Linked DNA regions of Cricetulus griseus. The protein of the gene in region 3 interacts with the protein of the main gene of each other region in a biochemical or structural test. Links are inferred from orthologs where the notes say so. Each region holds a gene or a part of one and is shown on either strand. Other genes may lie near its edges. The genes, in order: Frmpd4, Gda, Dlg3, Net1 and Cysltr2.

Region 1 (3,923 bases), about 33 Mb from region 3:
GGTCCTGTAAGGGATCTATCTTGTGCATTATACATACATATATACATATATACATACAAATAGGTAAGAATACTGACATTTGTACATGAATATGTTATACCCACTAAGGTACAAGTAGGCTGAAAATAGAGGCATTGCATTTAATTTCCTAATAAATGTGAGAAAAGTGTGAAGATCCTTAACTTTCTCATAACTCAAGGAAGAGGAAATCAGTTATCATCTTTCATGAATAGAGAATGTTAGATCTCACTTCACAAAGTAAATGGAGTATTTTATGGGGAAAACTCTCCATTAGAATATCACCTGTAAAGGTTGTAAAGTCATGTTACATATTTCTGCTCATGGAGATCATTGAGGCCTATTAATAGAAACAATTGTCAGAGGGAGTTAAGATATTATCCTCTCCTCCAAGATGCTATAACATGTTATCAAACAGCAACTCTGTTTTATGCAGTATCAATTTGGTTAAATGCAAGTCTCCTAACCAAGGAATCTAACACCTGGAGCCTACATCAGCTAGTGTCCTATTTGGAATGTTGGGTGACTATGCTGACACAGTGATAGTACAAGCCATCAAATTAAGAAACACAGATAAAGCTGAGGAGATGACTGAGTGAATAAGATGCTTGTTGTGCAAACATGAAAGCCTGAGTTTGGATCCTTAGTAATCATATGAAAAATCCATGTCTGGTGGTGTGCATCTATAACTCAACAATGGAAGGCAGAGACAAGTGCATCTTAGTGGCTCACTGGTGAGCCAGTCTTAGTCAACAAGCTCTAGGTTCAGTGGGAGACCCTGACTGAAAAATATAAGATGAAGAATGGTAGAGATTGATATCAGGAATTTGTTTGGCTTCTATGTGCATGCTTGTAGCTGAGCATATCCATATACACATATGTGTATATACTGCATACAACAGGAAGAGAGAGAGAGAGAGAGAGAGAGAGAGAGAGAGAGAGAGAACCTTACAATTCCTGAAACCAGACAACATAGTAACCTATCTACCTGATTCTTTCTCCTTAGGAACAGAAAATAAAGGCAAGCATAATATCCTTGGCTCTGATTGGAACTGTATGCCCCAGATGACCACCTTCATCGGCGAAGGGGAACAAGAAGCCCAAATCACATATATAGATTCTAAGCAGAAGACAGTTGAGATGACAGACAGCACCTTATGTCCCAAAGAGCACCGGCATTTATACATTGACAACACATACAGTTCAGATGAACTTAGCCAACCGCTGACTCAGCCAGGTGATGCCCCCTGTGAAACCAACTACAGAAGCCTAGCTCAGCGGTCCCTGATGACCCTCTCAGGACCAGACACTCTGAAGAAAGCACAGGAATCCCCAAGAGGAGCTAAAGTGTCCTTTATTTTTGGAGATCTTGCCTTGGATGATGGCATGAGTACCCCAACTGTAGGCTATGAAAGACTTTTAGATGAGAATCCAGAAATGTTGGAGAAACAGAGGAATCTCTACATCAGCAGTGCCAATGACATGAAAAACCTGGATCTCACTCCGGACACAGACAGTATCCAGTTTGTGGCAAATTCTGTATATGCAAACATAGGTGATGTGAAGAACTTTGAGGCCCCTGAGGGGATAGAGGAGCCCCTCTTACATGACATCTGTTATGCAGAAAATACTGACGATGCAGAAGATGAAGATGAGGTGAGCTGCGAGGAGGACCTCGTGGTGGGTGAGATGAATCAGCCAGCCATCCTTGACTTGTCAGAGTCAAGCGATGACATCATTGACCTCACAACCCTGCCTCCTCCAGAAGGAGATGACAATGAAGATGACTTCCTCTTGCGTTCTTTGAACATGGCCATCGCTGCTCCCCCACCTGGCTTTAGAGATAGTTCTGATGAGGAGGACACTCAGAGCCAGGCAACATCCTTCCATGAGGACAAGGAACAAGGCAGCAGCCTGCAGAATGAGGAGATCCCTGTGTCCCTCATTGATGCTGTGCCCACCAGCGCAGAGGGCAAGTGTGAGAAGGAACTGGACCCTTCTGTGGTTTCCACACTGGAAGCCCTAGAAGCTCTTTCAGAAGAACAACAGAAGAGTGACAATTCAGGTTCTTTCACCATTGTTACATTTATTCACTGATAACCATTGTCATCTCATCCTTTTGAGCCATTTGTCCTTGTAGTCCTGTTATGTGGTGTTTTCCATTTCATATATGTCCCATTTCATAAATATGTTGATCTATCATCATGGGGGATTTGTGCTAGGTGGTTTTCTTTGTTGCTAGTTTAAAAAGAAATCATGGCACCCCTCCCCCTCCCTGAAATAACTGTGCAATAAAATCAGAGTCCTTACTGAAAAGGGAAAAATCTTGTTTATTTTTATTTTGTGATTTTTGCCATTGTTGTTGTTTGTTTCCATCTTTGTAATAATACTACTGAGTCACATTTTCTTGCATGTCTCTGTGTGCCTCTGTTGCAGCCATTAACCACTTCTTGTTTTTTATGGCATGCAGGTGTAGCCATCTTGCGGGCTTATAGTCCTGAGTCTTCATCAGACTCTGGCAATGAGACTAACTCTTCTGAAATGACAGAGGGTTCTGAGCTAGCCGCAGCACAGAAGCAGTCGGAAAGCCTCTCGCGCATGTTCTTGGCCACTCATGAAGGCTATCACCCTCTGACAGAAGAGCAGACCGAGTTCCCCACCTCCAAAGCCCCCTCAGGGGTCTTGCCTCCAAAGTCGTCCCATGGTCTGGCTGCTCGCCCAGCAACTGACCTCCCACCCAAAGTTGTGCCTTCCAAGCAGATCCTTCACTCAGACCACATGGAAATGGAGCCAGAAACCATGGAGACCAAGTCAGTCACTGACTATTTTAGCAAACTGCATATGGGGTCGGTGGCATATTCCTGTACCAGCAAAAGGAAAAGCAAACTTGCTGAGGGAGAGGGGAAAGCCCCCCTGAGTGGGACTGCACTAGGAAAAAAACAGCAAGGAACCAAAATGGCAGAGATGGAGGAGGACACCAAAGGCAAAGTTGGCACTGTGTCTTCAAGAGACAGTCCACACCTCAGCACTTTTAACCTGGAGAGAACTGCCTTTCGCAAGGACAGCCAAAGATGGTATGTGGCCTCTGATGGTGGGGTGGGAGAGAAAAGTGGTGTGGAAGCACCAGCCATGAGAGCCTTTCCCAGAGGTCCAGGTCTGGGGAACAGGGAGGCTGAAGGGAAGGAGGATGTCGCTGTTGAAGGAGAGGCCGATAATGGTTCAGGACTTGACCAAGGGGACCGCTTCCTAACAGACATGGCCTGTGTAGCCTCAGCCAAAGACTTAGAAAACCCTGAAGATGCTGACTCTCCTACTTGTGACCATGCCACTAAGCTTCCTGAGGCTGAAGACAGTGTAGCCCGCCTTTGTGACTACCATTTGGCCAAGCGGATGTCATCCCTGCAGAGTGAGGGCCATTTTTCTCTACAGAGCTCTCAAGGCTCTTCAGTGGACACAGGCTGTGGCCCAGGCAGCAGCAGCAGTACCTGTGCCACTCCTGTGGAGTCGCCCCTCTGCCCCTCCATGGGGAAGCACCTGATTCCGGATGCTTCTGGGAAAGGCGGGAGTTATATTTCACCAGACGACAGAGTCAGTGGTCATCCCAACCATGGAACCACCTTCAAGGAATTGCACCCACAGACAGAAGGGATGTGTCCGCGCATGACAGTGCCTGCTCTGCACACAGCCATTAATGCCGACCCCCTGTTTGGCACTTTGAGAGATGGATGCCACCGACTGCCCAAGATTAAGGAAACCACAGGTACAGCAATGATGGATTTAGTGTTTTATTTTATGTGCCAGGAGCACGGGGACCTTATTTACAACAAACCTAAAAATATAGAGTAAAGGGTAGAAAAAAGGCCACAGGGCTGTTAAGAAGCAATCATTGACCCATTGGCAATAAA
Region 2 (3,923 bases), on a different chromosome or scaffold from region 3:
GACAAAATTCCTGTATCCAAATGTACATCACAAAATTCTCAACAAATTTGTATGTTTTATCTGTCTGTCTGTTTATCTATCTTAGTAGTGTTGGTAATCAAGCCCAGTATTCTACCACTGAACTCCATCCTAGCCCTGGCTCTTGATTTTGATTATTTTGGCTGATTTGCAATTCAGTACAGGGTCAGCCAGCTCATCCGCAGCATAGGAAATCCAACCAGACTGAATACCTTATTACGATTTTATCATCTCTACTACAGAAAATTTTCAAATATCCTCTTTTCTAAATCTGTATGATGCACTTCCAGTAGGCTGATACTTGTCTGCATTCCAATCAGGACTTTCTAAGAGAACGTAGAAGGTGCAAATATGATTTTGTAAAGAACTATGGGTTAATTGTTACGGATGGTTTGTTTTAGAAATGATATCTATCTATATAGCTAAAGCTGGCCTTGAACTCAGCCCAAACTGATCTCACACTCATAATTTTCCTGCCTCAGCCTCTGGAATGCTGGTATTTTTTTTTTTTTTGGCATAAGCCACCACATCTGAGAGAATTGTCCTTTATTTCTGTTACTAGTTTCATTATAGTCACCAATGGATCTTGACATGGACATAAAATCAGGATATGTCATATCATAATAACTTTTCCATAAGGAGGCAAACTTTATTTATGAAAGCAGGTGCCACACATTTGAAACCTCTCTAAATTCTCATGTTGGTAAGATTTGTGGGTTTTCAAGGAACATTTAATTCTCTAAAAAGTTTCTTTTTACTTTAATATAAAACTGATACCCAGTTGCTTTCTCCTTTGGGAGGCATAATTCAATAGGCAAAAACTATTATTAAAATAGAACTTTTTCAACCTCCATGCAAATATAATTAACACGAAAATTTAAGGTTAATTTATTAATCATATGGTAATATATGTAAAGGAAGATAAAGCTTCCCATGTAAATTTACATTATTTATGCAAAGTACTAACCTTTCAAATCACTTACATTCATATCTCCTTTTGTGTAGTCACTAAGAAATTGCTTGTTGCAGTAAACTCTCAAAGCAGTGTGTTCATTTCATGGAAGGCCAAGGCCAAAGGGTATACTGCTTTAATGAGGTCTCTTGCTACTCACAATAATTTTAATTAATTATAGAAGTAATACATATGCATTTTTCTAAACCTCAGAGTTTAAAATCTTACTTTTAACATTCACTGTATATCTCTGAACGTTTTTTATGTGTAAAAACACACCAAGACATATGTACATGCATATCCAACTGTTTTGAGCATTCTTCTGTGGAAGCATGCACATTTTGCTCTGTGAATGCTGGATAGAATTCTAATAATGTAAATTCTATGATTTAACCAATTCCTTGGGGATAGTTATTTTCAAACTTTCCTGTGTTATCAATGCATCTATTTGTACACTCTTTAAAGAATTATCCTTGGAAATGGATCTGCCGGCTCGAAGAAAAGCCCACTGACCTACTAACTATGAAAGCATCATTGGAAAAAAATACGCACTCACTCTCTCACCAATTAGCAATGGAAAAAGTTGTTAGGAGTTTAAGAATGAAGCGGAGGATGAAACATCAGGCCCATATTAACACACACACACACACACACACACACACACACACACACACACACACACACAGATAGATGGATACACACATATCATGGCACACACATATTGACACACACATATCTACATACACATGCACACAAGCACACACACATGTAGATATACACACATATATCTATACACATATGCATGCAAACACACACACACACACACATAGACACACACATATATCTACACATACACACACACACACACACACACACACACACACACACACTGGGTTTATTCTAGTTTGAAAAGTGCATGTGTCCTGAAGAACTGTGATTACTTCTGAGATTTTGAAACTTAAAGGATGCAGCCTGCTTTATATAGATTATATCATGATACTGAGCTTACCTTGTTTGTCAGGAGATTATTTTTATCATAGACATCTGTGTAGTTTTTGTAATCAGGGAATAAGCTTTTCACAGCTTCAACTTCTTCACGATTTTCACTTACATGGCTCTGCAAACAAAGAAAGAATGGTTTCACTTTTTCTGTAAAATATTTGACATTCTATCTCCTATCTCAATATGCTGCTGCTAGTTTCTACTTGCTGAACTTGCTGATGTAGGCGACTTGGAGGAAAACATTGAAGTCTCTACTTGCTCAGGTTTAATTTTCAGTAATTATAATGCATCCTCTATGATAATACACATGACAAAGAAACTGGATATCCTGAGCATGGCTCTGTGTGTGTATGTGTGTGTGTGTGTGGGGGGGGTCTTTCCCTCAAGACCTTTATCTATAGCAGGAACAACCTATGCCCTCTTTTAAAGAGTGCCCAGTGCCTTGCTTGCAGCATCCTATAAGAATTCAATGGCCATTGGAAGATGAATCTATGGTTCACTCAGGAAAAAAAAAAAAAAAAAAACTAAAATTTGAACAGAGAGCCTAATAGAGCAAGCCAGTTCTCTTCCTAAGCTTCCATTTCTCATCAGCCAATAAAAGTGTTGGCTTAGGTAAGTCATTTTCCATCTCTTATGCAGATGTGTTAGTCATATTTCAGGTGTGAAATTTTACAGAACCTAGTATACTGGAAGCAGATGGAAGGCTGGGCTCAGGATCTGTCCTCAGTCTGCCTCTTTTCTCGGCTTTCTGAATGATGCTTTTGCAGAAAAGAATATGAAAATGACAGAGCCTTCACCAGGCACTCATGGGAATCCACACACAAACCAAGTGAGTAGACAGCCACACCAACCTTTCATGGGGGCACCTGAAATCTGAGGGGACAAAAAGTACCTTGCACTGGAGTAGCCACCCAAGCCTCTAGAAAAAAACATTTCAGGGGTGATGAAAGTAGATAATGGGAACAATTCATGAGTCAACAAACACTAGCTAACCAATTCTGCCAGGCCTCTTTTTCTGTGCTAAGAAGAAACATAGAAAGATGAACAAAAGAAAAAGTGAGTAATGATCCCAACCAGTGCTGCACCTACATCGGACTCTACCCATGGTCGGGGAGTAAATCCCAGTCTATCAGTGAGATGCATGGATGTAGCCCAAGAGGAAGAACAACCTGGTGATTGATTGGATAGTAAAATTAAATGCCTATCTTCCATCCCTCTAATCAGAGCTGGTCTCCTGTTTGCCAAAATGTCTGTGAACTAGATTGCTAACAAGGGATAACCTTGCACTTCTGATTCTTCCTTCTGACTGCTGTGTCCCCAGTACCCAGGCTATGCCTGGGATCAGCCTCAGGGTTTTGTGCATGCCAGGCAAGCACTTTGTCAACTGCACTGCATCCCCAGACGAAGGAGAGACTTCTTCATGTCTTATTCAATTTATTTTCATGTAGGTTTTTTATGTTGTCTGCATCTTTCTTTCTCTCTCTTTTCTTCTTCTTCTTCTTCTTCTTCTTCTTCTTCTTCTTCTTCTTCTTCTTCTTCTTCTTCTTCTTCTTCTTCTTCTTCTTTTAGAATAAAACATACTGTTTCCAAAGTGGAAATATTATCCAAATTTGGAATTTTATTACCAGAGCATAATTGTGGGGGACTGAATCCAAATTCCAAATATCAGAAGCCACAAACAATAATCACGAGGAAGACACGCTAATAGGTCCTATGAACATACATTTTAAAAATAAATAAATAAATAAAAGTAAGGAATCAATATGCTGCCTTTACCCCAACTTTCCCTTCCCTTTAAGACCATCAGCTCTGAAAGAGGGGAAATTTTAGTGCAGTGTGTAATTAAGCTTGAGTGGGGGAGGGGGGCTCCTAATTTTAACCCAGCTGTGAGATTTTAAAAGCATTTTATTGCTAAATTGCAACAACTTAATGATAAAGGAAGATATACTTT
Region 3 (4,662 bases):
AGGTGACTCTAATTTTAGCCCAAATGACAACCATGGCCAATCATCATGACCATATGATTAACTATCTTTTGTGGTTATGTTTGTCTGCATTCCCTCAGTAGGATGTAAGCTCCTCAAGGACAGGGACTTGCTCTGTTTGTTTTATATTGCCTGGTCTTACTGTTGTGTCACCAAATTCTAGAACAGTGTTTGGCATGACCATCTGAGTCTCTATTCACAGCACTCTTACACGAGGTTGGTGATGCATGAATGCTTGCTGAATTAAACTAGGACCTAAAATCTATAGGAAAACTTAGAGCATATCAGTTATATAGATGATCTAGAGCATGGGTTTGAATCAAATGGCAAGGACTTATATCTTTCATCTATGTTACCTAGCTGTGTTAACATTGCTTAACTTCCAGCTTTTATTGGTAGAATTAAGGTAACTTTAGTACTGCCTTGATAGGGCTTTTTGTTTGTACTTCAGACTTGGTAATGATTCAGTCATTGTCAGCTAAAAATAAAACAAGGACGGCAACAAAAAGTTAGGCCAGGTGACACCTGTAATGCCACCAATCAGGTACTTGAGGTAGGATGATCACTGTCTCAGAAAGAATTCTGTCTTATCAGCATCATTTTCCCATCTTCCTACAGGGGAATCGAGGAGACCTCCTTCAACAGGTATTCTTATGTGCTTTCCAGACCCACAGAGCTGGCTTTTGTACTTCCAAGCTTTTCTTAGCACTTCCTTCTAATCTGGACACCCTTTCCTCTTAATAGTCCAAGCCTCCCTTCCCTAACACAACCATGGAGTGGAGGCAGAAGTGTCTGAGGCAGGAATAAGTAGTTTTCTGATTGCCAGTTCTGGGGTTAAGTTTCACACTGGTGATGTAAGAAGGTCGACTGTGAGATAGCCATTACAGGGCCTAGAGGATGAGAGAACAATGGTCTTGATAGGATACTTAACAGATCTGGACTCTGCCCTCTTCCTTAGTCCCCTGCAGGAGGCAGCACTTCTCGCACCCTGCCCAGATGCCCCTCAGGTCTGCTCTGTTGCTGTCTTTACTTCTGGTGGCCCTAGCTTAGAGCAAGCTTAGGGACCCATTGAGCATCTCACTGCAACTCCCTCTTGAAAGAGGGGCGGGGTGGAGTGGGCAGAAGACAGACTGAAATTGGCGACAAGGGGACAGGGGATCGTGCTCCGCAGCTCTCCAGTGGCTCAATCCCAGCCACCTAGGCTAGGGTAGCTAGTCCCTCAGAGAATGGGGGAGCTGTGGTTGAGCCCGGGGGGCACCTTTGCTTCTGTTCCTTTAAGGAGCCGCTGTTTAGCATTCCTGCTGCTGCCGCTGCCGCTGCCCGACTCTGTGCGCTGATTGGCTGGAATCAATTGAGAAGGGAGCCAGGGAGAGATGCTCTTGACTCCACTCAGATCCATCCTGGGGACCTGAGCAGAAGAGGTTCTCGCCGCACCTAGCCTTTTCCTAGGCTCCCTCTTCTTCTTTGCCGCTGGGCCTTGGCCCAGGAGCCACAACGGGCGACACGGAGCCGCCAGTGCTGGAGGGGGAGCCGTGGGTGCGGGGCAGCGTGGGGGCAGAGGCCCCGGGACGCCCGCCCGGCCCCAGGCCCCGCTCCGCCCGGGCGCCCCCACGGGTGCCCCCCCCTTCCTGGTCTGAGCAGTGCGAGTGTGCTCGGGAGCCCAGCAGTGGCGGTGGCGTGGAAACTGGCGTGGGTTGGGGGGTCCGAGCCGCGGGGGGCAGTGCCATGCACAAGCACCAGCACTGCTGTAAGTGCCCCGAGTGCTATGAGGTGACCCGCCTGGCCGCCCTGCGGCGTCTTGAGCCTCCTGGCTATGGGGACTGGCAGGTGCCAGACCCCTATGGGCCAAGTGGGGGCAATGGGGCTAGCTCCAGTTATGGAGGCTACAGCTCACAGACCCTGCCTTCACAGGCAGGGGCTACCCCAACCCCTCGCACCAAGGCCAAGCTCATTCCCACAGGCCGAGATGTAGGGCCAGTGCCCCCTAAGCCAGTCCCCGGCAAGAGCACCCCTAAACTCAACGGCAGTGGCCCCAGCTGGTGGCCTGAGTGCACCTGTACCAACCGAGATTGGTATGAGCAGGTAAGGACCATTGAATGGGCGGGTGACGGGGTGGGGGCTGGTGGGACAGCCCAAAAGGACTAGGGATTGGGGTCTAGGAAGTCTGGGGAACAGTAGGGGTTGCTGGGGCTCCAAGTCTGTGGCCCCTGAGCCGTAATACTGTCATTGACTAAAGAGATACTGTTGCAAATATATGTGCTTCTGTGTGTGTTTAGGGGGGTCTCCATTTGAAGGGGATTGGGAGGAGCTGTTTGTATCAGGGGTGATGGTATGGCGGAGGGGCACATTTTCTAGTGTGGGGGATTTGGGTTTGTCTCAGTGCGGCGAGGGGGGAGGTTGGCAGTGTCTCTGTGTCTGGCAGGGGGCGGGAGGTTCTGCGGGGGTTGTATGTGGTGTGTGTCTCCACAGGAGGGGAGGAGGGGGCATGGTGTTCTGCGTGGGGGGGACATATGTGTTTGTATGTATATTGGGGTGTGTGGAGGAAAGCAATGGAGCTTGTGTGAATGTATGTAGCGGAACCCATGTTCAGGGCTGGCTGAGCTTCATCTCTCCGTCCCAGTCCCTTTGTGTGAGAACGTGCACATGGATGTGTGAGGATGGCTCTCTGAATGTGGAGGTGTCTCTGTAGATGAAGCTGCAGGAGTAGCTGTGTTTGCCTGTGTGTGTCTCCATGTATATGTGTGTGAGCATGTGGTTTCAAGAGTGTACACGTGTGTGTGCCCGCGCACGCGTGTGTGTGTGTGTGTGTGTGTGTGTGTGTGTGTGTGTGTGTGTGTGTCCCTGGTGAGATGCGCTTGACAGGAAAAAGAGGGGAGGGGGAGCAGGCAAGACACGTCCCAAGCAAGGCTGAGAAGGACAGACTCTTTTGTCCAAGCTGCTCTGAAGTGTATGCTGTGGGGGTGGGGGGGAGTGGGGGGTGTTCAACAAGCCTTCTTGCTCCAAAGCAGGCATATTGTCTGGAACCAAGCAAAGGGCAACTGCCCTAATGTAGGGTCTGCCCCGAGTTGGGCATGGTCCTTGTAGGTACCCACAGATGTGGGAGAACTTAGCTCCCCAGCTCTGATTTGGCACAGCTTGGAGCCCCTGGGTGCTGGGCACAACTCCGGCTTCCACTCCCAGCCTGAACTGCCAGCTTAGAAAATGGAAGGAGCATCTGTGGGAGAAGCAGCAAAATGGAGGCTGGGCCGGCAGAGCCAGGTCTCTGGCATGCATGGCGGAGGGCCTGTCTAGTTCTTCAATTCTGCAGCCCCCAGGGTGAAGAAAGAGGAAGCTTTGCTGTCGATGGCAGGTGCTGACTGCCCCAAACTGGTGGCCATTCTGACCATCCCTGTCCTCCTCTGAGGATAGGATGTGTTTTCACCTAGAAGCAAAAGAGGGGGCTTCTTGGAGAGAGGAATCCTATGTACTGTCATTCTCTCTGCCTACACCTTTTCCTGTGTCCCTAGCCTTGGTTCCTTGCCCTCTCTAGTGAGTCCCCCTCTCCTTTGCCCCTCCCTTACAAACACACGCTCATGTTTGGCCTGCCCAGTGGAAAATAGTTGCCAATTCCAGGGCTGGGCCCGTTGGGTACCGTTTCTTTACCCAGGATGATCTTTGGATTGCTCCTGACCCTATGGGCAAGGTCTCTGAGTGGGAGTGGGACCAGGACTAGAGGGTGGACTACTGGGAGCTGAGACCTCCAGGTACCACCCAAACTGGGCTTGAGGCATGGCTTGTCACATGTGGGCACACATGGTGCACCAGGAGCATGAAAGAGCTGCATGGGTTTTCTTTTCCTCTGTATCTATTGCATTGTACTTCAGTGAGCTGTGTTGGTTTTGGGGAGGGAAGTCTCTGAAGAACCAGAGGTTTTTCCTCGTGGGACCAGGGTGAGGCTTCAGCTGGAATCCTACCACTGACTCCTTAAGACTACAGAACATGAAGGAGGAAATAAGGGAGGCATGGCTAGTCAGCACTCTTGAAGCCAGTAGTGCAAAGGATGAAAGTGAGAAGTGGGAAACAGAGCAGAGTATGTTGACGAACCCCCACCCTGGCTTTCCAGCTGTTCTTCTCTGGGGCCAAAACTTAAGAAAGGTACAACATGGCCATAGAAATTTGGATCAGTTCTGGGACACGTGTGGAGAGAGACAAGGGGGCTCCTTCAGTCTTGAAAATGAATGTGGGAATGAAGAAGCAGGTGTACTTGTCTGTGCAGAATCAGATTTCCACTCGCAACATGGCCACAAATATGTCCTGTCAGGAAGGCCACATCTATGTGTTGCTGAAAACAATCTGTGTTTTTGAACCGTTTTCTTGCCTGTCTTCCCATGGCTACTGTATGTTAAAGGTCACAAATTGTGCTTCTAATGTCTATGGGTCATCAGGTTCTCCTTCATGGGGAATTTTGTCTACTCCAGTCCTGTCCTACCCCTTGTTTGTCCTCAGACTCCTGGCCAATTCCCACCCCGACCCTTTCTTCTGGGACACACAAAGGGTTTAAGTCAAAAGTCCCTTGGGAAAAATGGATTCGGATTTTTACTCCTATCCATCTGAGAACTTGTATTTCTGGAACCTTTAAAAGGAGGTGTAAAAATTGGGGCTTCC
Region 4 (2,994 bases), on a different chromosome or scaffold from region 3:
TTCATTTCTGACTTCTGGTGTTTCTGGATGTTTTTAGGCAATATATGAATTGTCCCGAGGTGAGCAGGACTTAATTGAGGATCTCAAGCTTGCTAGAAAGGTCAGTGTCACTTTACATATGCCAGTCCTTAAAATGACATTTCACAGCTTCTCGGGGATGGTGTCTTAACCTTTGAAGTGGAAAATAAAAGTGTTTTTCTATTGAACACACCTTTGCCTCAAGATTGAAAGACAGCTTTTCAAATGTGACCACTAGTAAACTTTTAGGGGTGAATGTAACTGTAGCGCCCCTCCAGAATCTCTGTCCTTGCTGTGTAGTTACTAGGGTGCACTCAAGGACAGGTTGTGCAAGGGTTTCCTTTGCTCAGTCTTTGTGTGATATATTTCTTCCCCTCTGATAGGCCTACCATGACCCCATGTTAAAGTTGTCCATCATGTCAGAAGAGGAACTCACACATATATTTGGCGACTTGGACGCTTACATACCCCTGCATGAAGGTCAGCTTTGCTCTTAATATCCGTTCATTCCTGAATAAAACCAACACAAGTAATTTTAAGTTAATAAGAATGTGGTACTCACCAGGTCTTTTTAAATAATTGTATTGTTGCTCTTTTTTGCTCTTGTACACTTCAGATTTGTTGGCAAGAATAGGCGAAGCAACCAAGCCTGATGGGACAGTGGAACAGATCGGTCACATTCTCGTGAACTGGGTACGTAAGCAAGTCGTCATATGTAACAGGCAGTGCTGCAGCCTGTGATGTCACTCATAGCAGTTTGGTCACACCACTAAATTCTAAAAACATTGACACATTAAAAGTTATGATGGTAAGCACTTAAAATCCTGTAAAAAATACCGAGCTTGACTATGTTACAGACCTTCTTACAGCTAACATCCCTGATTGAGCAGGATTCCTATAATGCTATAATGCTGCTTATCCTCTTTTGCAGTCTCTCCATACATACTTGAGTGTCTACTGTGTGCCAGGCTCTGTTAAAGGAGAACTCCTGGGGACTCAGTAATGAAGGCTGTTTATGACTTCACAGGAGAGAGCAGGCCCACAGAGTATCAGGATTGTGAGGAGTATGATAGAATCAACTTGGGTGTCTGGGAACAAATAGCTAACATCATAGTGAGACTTGGAAATAGAAGTCATGAGTCTTCAGTTGGGCCAGGAAAATGTCCACAGCCTGCTAAACACACTTGTAGCTATACTGACTTTTGTGGTCTGTGCTCATCACTTGTTAATGCACCCAGTCATAACAGGATTGTGCCGTGTGTCGTCTTTACTCTCTAGTTACCACGCCTGAATGCCTACAAGGGCTACTGTAGTAACCAGCTGGCAGCCAAGGCTCTTCTGGATCAGAAGAAACAAGACCCAAGAGTCCAAGACTTCCTTCAGCGCTGTCTGGAGTCTCCCTTCAGTCGAAAACTAGATCTTTGGAGTTTCCTAGATATCCCTCGTAGTCGCCTCGTCAAATACCCTTTACTGTTAAAAGAAATCCTTAGACACACTCAAAAAGACCACCCTGATGTCCAGCTGCTGGAGGAAGCAGTAAGTCTCAGAAACATTAGAAAAGCATAGAATGCTCGGACCTGATGTCATCCAGAGACTGGGTTTAATCTGGTTCCTTCCTCTGTCTGGTGGCCTTGGCCCAGTCACCTAGTGTGGCTGGGACTGATTGCTCCCATGTATAATGAAGAGAGTGGCTGGATTGACTTCTAGAGTCCCTTCAGGCTTCAGATTCTGCCTTTGTGTGAATGTTTGCTCTGGAGGAAGCTTGATAATACAGCCGATGCTCCATCTGCTTTTGTTTTCTTTTATCATTTTTAGGTATTGATAATTCAAGGAGTTCTTTCTGATATAAACTTGAAGAAAGGTGAATCCGAGTGTCAGTATTACATCGACAAGCTGGAGTACCTGGACGAGAAGCAGAAGGACCCCAGGATCGAAGCGAGCAAGGTGCTCCTGTGCCATGGGGAGCTGAAGAATAAAAGTGGCCATGTGAGTGTATTCGAATATGAACCACAAGGAAGCCATTGCTTTCCTTTTCCCAGTCTGCTTAGTTTTCTACACATAAATTATGAGGCAGGTTTGTAAAAGTGCTTTGGTAAAGCAAGCACTTGATTTCTGTAGTTGCAGAATAAGAGGACTAAACGCCTCTGCCAGTCATCCTCATGTCCAGTTGTGAACAGCTGGTGCCTAATCTGGTAGTGTGGCCCAATGAAAGAAAAGAGCTTAGATAGCCTGAGCTTGAATGCTCCAAGCAAAACCTGCATAGCCTTGAGACCATTATTTTATGATGCCATTTATAAAGAGAAATCAGAATCTAAATGTCAAATCCAGTTCTTTAACAATTAAGTTACTTATTTAGGAAGTTTGGGATTTTTTTTTCTTCATTTCTGCAGAAACTGTATATTTTCCTGTTTCAAGACATCTTGGTTTTGACTCGGCCTGTCACACGAAATGAGCGTCACTCCTACCAGGTTTACCGGCAACCAATCCCAGTGCAGGAGCTGGTGCTGGAAGACCTACAGGATGGGGATGTGCGCATGGGTGGTTCCTTCCGAGGGGCTTTTGGCAACTCAGACAAAGGTAAGATATAAATTCTAGAATAGTTACACAAAGGAGCCAGAGTAGATGGGGAAAAAAGGGTTGAAGCAGAATTGCCACACATTTGAAGCCAACCGGGGCTACAAAGTAAGACACACACATACCCATCTCAAAAACAACACCAAAGAGAAGAAACAAGTGTACTTAAATGAAATTAGAGTTGACCCTTAAGAATTTTAAGAATAAAACCATTCCCCAGTCATGGATTGCCACAAAAGGGAGTTGATAGGGACCTCTGGCTAGTGACTGTCTTTAAGAGAGTGTGTATGTCACTTAAGTACTAGAACTTTCCTTAAGACTGTATGAGCACGTTCTTAGTCTTGATTCCTTTTTTCTTCCTTCAGCTAAAAATATCTTTAGAGTCCGCTTCCAAGACCCCTC
Region 5 (4,533 bases), on a different chromosome or scaffold from region 3:
TTTTTTCCTGTACTGTTGAGCTCAAGACTATTCCTTACTTTCTCTTCTATCAGGCTCAGTATATGTGAATTTTGTGCAGGGTGATAAAAGTGTGGACCCTGTTTGGATCTGTAGCCATCCAGTTTGACCGGCACCATTCATTAAAGATGTTGTCTTTTCCCCCATTATATTTATGACTTCTTCATCCAAAATAAGGTATCCATAAGTGTGTGGATTTATGTCTGCATCTTCAGTTTGATTCCATTAATCAACATGTATACTTTTATGCCAATACCATATTGTTTATTTTACTATAGCTCTGTAGTACAGTTTGAGGAGGTTGAGAATAATGACACCTGCAGTAGTTGTTTTATTATTCAGGATTGTTTTAGCTATTCTGGTGTGTGTGTGTGTGTGTGTGTGTGTGTGTGTGTGTGTGTGTGTGTGTTTCCATATAAAGCAAAAATTGCCCTATCAAGATTTTTGAATTGTGTTGAAATTTTGATTATGATTGCACTGAATCTGCAGATTGGTTTTGGCAAGATGGATATTTTTACTGTATTAATCCTACTGATTGGTGAGAATGGGAGATCTTCCCATCTTCAATTTTTTTCTTCAGTGTTTTAAAGCTCTTATCACACAAGTCTTCCACTTGTCTGGTTAGAGTTATGCCAAGATATTTTATATTATTTGAGATGATTGTGAAAGGTGTTGTTTCCCTGATTTCTTTCTCAGTCCATCTGTCACTTGTATATAGGAAGGCAGGGTCCCAGGGATTGCTGGCTCAAGTTGGAGGTTGAGCTAACAGGAGTAGTGTGTGTGTGTGTGTGTGTGTGTGTGTGTGTGTGTGTGTGTGTGTGTGTGTGTGTGTGTGTAGGTAGGTAGGAGGAGAAGAACTGCATGATGGGAATGAAGAAGCCAGAGAGGCTGAATCAGGAGGTGAAATACAGAACGGGGGATGAAACTGGGAATTTCTCATTCAAGCAGTCCAGGAGGCAAAGGAGAATCAGGCTGAAAGTTGGGAAAAAAGCCAGGTGGATTGAGAAATATGGTGACAGAGTTTCCACAGTTAACTGTTCAAGCAAGAGTAACACATTACAGGAGCAATGAGACCAGTGGCGGCCTTCACAGAGACTTTTTAGCAGAGTGAGTAAGGCCTTTGCCAGAGTGCACGGGAAAGCCAGAGGGTAGTGAAAGTGCTTTATCTAAAGCTGTCGGCAGGGCTGAGTGTGAAAAGCGGAGTTGATGGGCTTGTCATGGAAACAGAAACCCTTTCGGAAATAAAAGCCACTTAACTCCCCCCCTCCCCCCCCCCCCCCCGCCCATCACATCTGATTAAAAGAAAAAAGAAAGAAAGGAAGGAAGGAAGGAAGGAAGGAAGGAAGGAAGGAAGGAAGAAAGGTAAGAAGAAAAGAAAAGAAATCCCAACAACAAAAACATCAAGAGTCATTAGAGGACGATAATTCCAGGGTGACTTGGTACGATGGTCACTAGCTGGAAATTCTCTGCCTTCCAAAGAAGGAAGCCAGCATTCATTCCCACGATCCTGCCACCAAGCTGAGGACCTGCTGACCCAAGTTCCTTCTTTTCTTGCTATTGGCTAACACTGTTCATAAAACAGAGTTGGCCGTTTCACTCTTGCTTTAAATGAACAAGCTGCATCGTATGGGGAGACAGCCAGGAGAGAGGGCAGAGTCGGAAGGCAGGGCAAGCGGGAGGAGGCCGGGCGCAGAAGGAAGCACACAGGTGGGTTGTACCGTTTGTTCATTTGTCACTCAGAATTGTGCTTTGATGGCTCCTACAGGAATGACGTGTGGAATGTAAGCTTAATTTGTTCAACTATCAGTTCTACCACATATGTTTTTTTGTTTTTGTTTTTGGCTTGTGCATATGATTTTAGCTTCCTTTCATAGCTGCATCTGTAAAATACAAACACGTTTATGTTCACTCCTTCCAGTAAACCTTGTGCCTTATCCATGCTGCCATGAATTCTGCAGAGCCACAATTGCGATTGCTATATAAGGCATTGATATTTTCCCTCCTTTGGTCATTTTATCCCATAAGGCTTTTTTTTTTTTCTACTCAAAAGTCTTGCTTTTGGAAGAGGATTGTATTTGAGAAGGTAGATTTCAGTGGTTTTGTTCAGAGGTGCAGTGAACATGAACACGTGTGCTGGAATCGGTTTGTTTTGGAGCACCCATCTTGGTTTTTCAGCTGGGGCTGCACCTCAGTCAGAATTGCCTGCATCTCAGCAGATTAGAGAACAATGCCTCAAACAGCTTAAACCTGGTTTCCTGGTATTAACCAGTCTTTAATGGGTTTTGTTTGCTATTACTTCTCAGTTGTTATTAATAAATGGTCTGTTCTTAAAGAAATGGTTGTTTGAAAAACCTTCTTGTCGATACCACATACCTGAGAGTAATAATGGTGGGGAAATGAGATGCAATTAAAGGCAAGTCTCTCTTTTACTATGTAAGTAATCTAACTTAGAGAGCTAATTTGTGGGGCATATAAGAACTTTAGAAATTTCCGTTGTCTACTTCAACTCCTGAGATTAGAACCTATTTGAAAGCTTCAATTAATTAATGTTTGAAGGAAGTAGATTTGTTTCTATGGCTTGGGAAGGTAGTTGTGGGAGAAGTTGAGGATTTAGAAGGCTCTAAATATGTTAACATTAAGCCCGGTGGGCACTAGTACCTGCCAAGGTAGCCCAACTTCCTTTCTTTGTATAACTTTTCAAAGTCAGTCAAGAGATGGACATTTAATATCTGGCCATTTACAAGCACACCGAAGATACAGCAGGTGGCCAAGACTGATCTAATGGTTCACCCTGCTTTCCAAAAGAAATTATTTTCATTGGACCCCAATGTCCCCCTAAGAATAAAACAGACTGACTTCATATCAAAAGACTGGACAGATAACGGCACCTAAATCAGGCTGAAGCAGTTCTGCCTGTGCTATGAGCTTCCCACAGGCATATACTTGACCTTAATTTGATCAATAGCGTGTCAAACAAATATCTTCTTGTTTTCATCCCATGGAGGAGAGTGTCTGTTTAGCATCTTTGATAAGCACAAGCATTTATGTAGCACTTTACCATATAGAAACATGTTTTCATATGTCTGTTCATTTGACCTGTGGAACAATCTTTATCTATAGAGAGGGTATTTCTCATTTTTGAGATGGCAGAAATGAAGCCCTGGGATTGTAGGATATTTCCCAAGTTAGAACCAAACTGATGAGTCTAGAATATATGGCTACATCCATACAACCCCAATAATAACTATTTTATGAAATTGATTAAATGAATTTTGTTACATCTGTATATTATTATATAGTTAAATGATGGCATTGGCACTATATCACTTAGAAAAAAAAGAGATGACCATGTCTCAGTGGCAAGAAAAAGCAGGATACAAAATAGCATTATAACATGCTCTCTCTCTTTTTTTCAAAATCCTTATCTGTATTTAGAAAAAGAGAAAAAGAAGTGTATGTACAGAATTTTAGACTTGTCTAACTGATAAAACTTGTCATTTCCACAACTCAGCTTAATATCTTTTTGCCACCTTAATTTAATATAGCAATGCAACAAAAACAAAAGTAAACTAAACAGAATTGAATAGAATTGACTGTGTCTGTCTGGTTCACACTCCCGATAAAGTGGCCCCAACTCTTTTTTCCAATTGACTAGAAAGAAGCCTTGTATTCGGTTCTGAGTTTTGCCTATGATTGTTACATGTTGTGTTGTAGTTGTGGCTAATGTGGACAACACACTTGGTATGTCAGGCACAGAGCTGATTGGGCTGCTCTCATCCTCTTCGTTTACTCTCACTCCCTCAGCAGATGAAGGTTTTAAAGTTTAGAGGGGTGAAATGACAGAAAAGCAGAGTTGAGACTTGAAAAATTGAGACTCTATCTACCTGGCACCTGAGAGGACCTCCTCCCTCCACAGGATGGGACTCATTACTCTGGGTCAGCATCAGCTCAGGAATTGTTAATACCCATTACCTTGTGTATTCCAGACCCCAGGATCTGGCCTGCTTTTCTTGTTTGTCCTGAACAGAAGGCATTAAAGACATGCTGGTCCCCAAGAGCAAGCTTATAGAGGAAAAGACTCATAAGGGATAATGCAGCTACCCAGAACTTTGGCTAATGTATCAGCTTGCCTAGGATGCAGGAAGCCTGGGGTTTGATCCCCAGTGCCACATACACTGGGCTTTGGTGGTACATGCTGGTCATCTCACACTGTGGGGGAGGGGCAATCAGGGGTACTAGGTCACATTTGACAACTTGAAACACTGTCTCAAAACTGATAGATAAATGGGTTGGGAGCCTACTAGAGGAAGAGCAAGAAGGAGGAGAGAGACAAGGGACAGGGAAGGGGAGGCTGCCCATTTTGGCAACGAAAATATTAATTAAACAGAGAAAATGTAAAAGCTTAATCCATCGTTAATTCTCTTCTTGATATTATTTATTTCTTGAAAAAAAATAAAAAAGTCTCTTTCCCACATAAAATCTTCTTAAATGATCCTGCAGAGACTGCCCTAACCT

The links.
Region 1: the proteins of Dlg3 (region 3) and Frmpd4 interact in a test that uses a peptide from one of them, tested with the Homo sapiens proteins (2 studies listed by IntAct, with this or other methods). The link is inferred for Cricetulus griseus from reciprocal best matches to the Homo sapiens genes DLG3 and FRMPD4.
Region 2: the proteins of Dlg3 (region 3) and Gda form a complex in vitro, tested with the Homo sapiens proteins (2 studies listed by BioGRID and IntAct, with this or other methods). The link is inferred for Cricetulus griseus from reciprocal best matches to the Homo sapiens genes DLG3 and GDA.
Region 4: the proteins of Dlg3 (region 3) and Net1 interact in a test that uses a peptide from one of them, tested with the Homo sapiens proteins (2 studies listed by IntAct, with this or other methods). The link is inferred for Cricetulus griseus from reciprocal best matches to the Homo sapiens genes DLG3 and NET1.
Region 5: the proteins of Dlg3 (region 3) and Cysltr2 interact in a test that uses a peptide from one of them, tested with the Homo sapiens proteins (2 studies listed by IntAct, with this or other methods). The link is inferred for Cricetulus griseus from reciprocal best matches to the Homo sapiens genes DLG3 and CYSLTR2.

The regions. Positions count from the first base shown.
Region 1 is NC_048604.1:102,223,280-102,227,202, reverse strand, and holds part of Frmpd4 (FERM and PDZ domain-containing protein 4), read left to right. Parts: intron 1-1,024; coding exon 1,025-2,083; intron 2,084-2,488; coding exon 2,489-3,778; intron 3,779-3,923. UniProt on the Homo sapiens protein: Positive regulator of dendritic spine morphogenesis and density. Required for the maintenance of excitatory synaptic transmission. Binds phosphatidylinositol 4,5-bisphosphate.
Region 2 is NC_048596.1:39,826,503-39,830,425, reverse strand, and holds part of Gda (guanine deaminase), read right to left. Parts: intron 2,088-3,923; coding exon 1,980-2,087; intron 1-1,979. UniProt on the Homo sapiens protein: Catalyzes the hydrolytic deamination of guanine, producing xanthine and ammonia.
Region 3 is NC_048604.1:69,515,870-69,520,531, reverse strand, and holds the start of Dlg3 (disks large homolog 3), read left to right. Parts: upstream 1-1,743; coding exon 1,744-2,100; intron 2,101-4,662. Other genes in the region: uncharacterized protein LOC113837508, read right to left, coding at 1,277-1,417. UniProt on the Homo sapiens protein: Required for learning most likely through its role in synaptic plasticity following NMDA receptor signaling.
Region 4 is NC_048596.1:228,912,850-228,915,843, reverse strand, and holds part of Net1 (neuroepithelial cell-transforming gene 1 protein), read left to right. Parts: intron 1-37; coding exon 38-100; intron 101-401; coding exon 402-498; intron 499-634; coding exon 635-711; intron 712-1,296; coding exon 1,297-1,554; intron 1,555-1,833; coding exon 1,834-2,004; intron 2,005-2,408; coding exon 2,409-2,595; intron 2,596-2,957; coding exon 2,958-2,994. UniProt on the Homo sapiens protein: Acts as a guanine nucleotide exchange factor (GEF) for RhoA GTPase. May be involved in activation of the SAPK/JNK pathway Stimulates genotoxic stress-induced RHOB activity in breast cancer cells leading to their cell death.
Region 5 is NW_023276807.1:227,541,411-227,545,943, reverse strand, and holds the start of Cysltr2 (cysteinyl leukotriene receptor 2), read left to right. Parts: upstream 1-1,356; 5' UTR 1,357-1,725; intron 1,726-4,533. UniProt on the Homo sapiens protein: Receptor for cysteinyl leukotrienes. The response is mediated via a G-protein that activates a phosphatidylinositol-calcium second messenger system.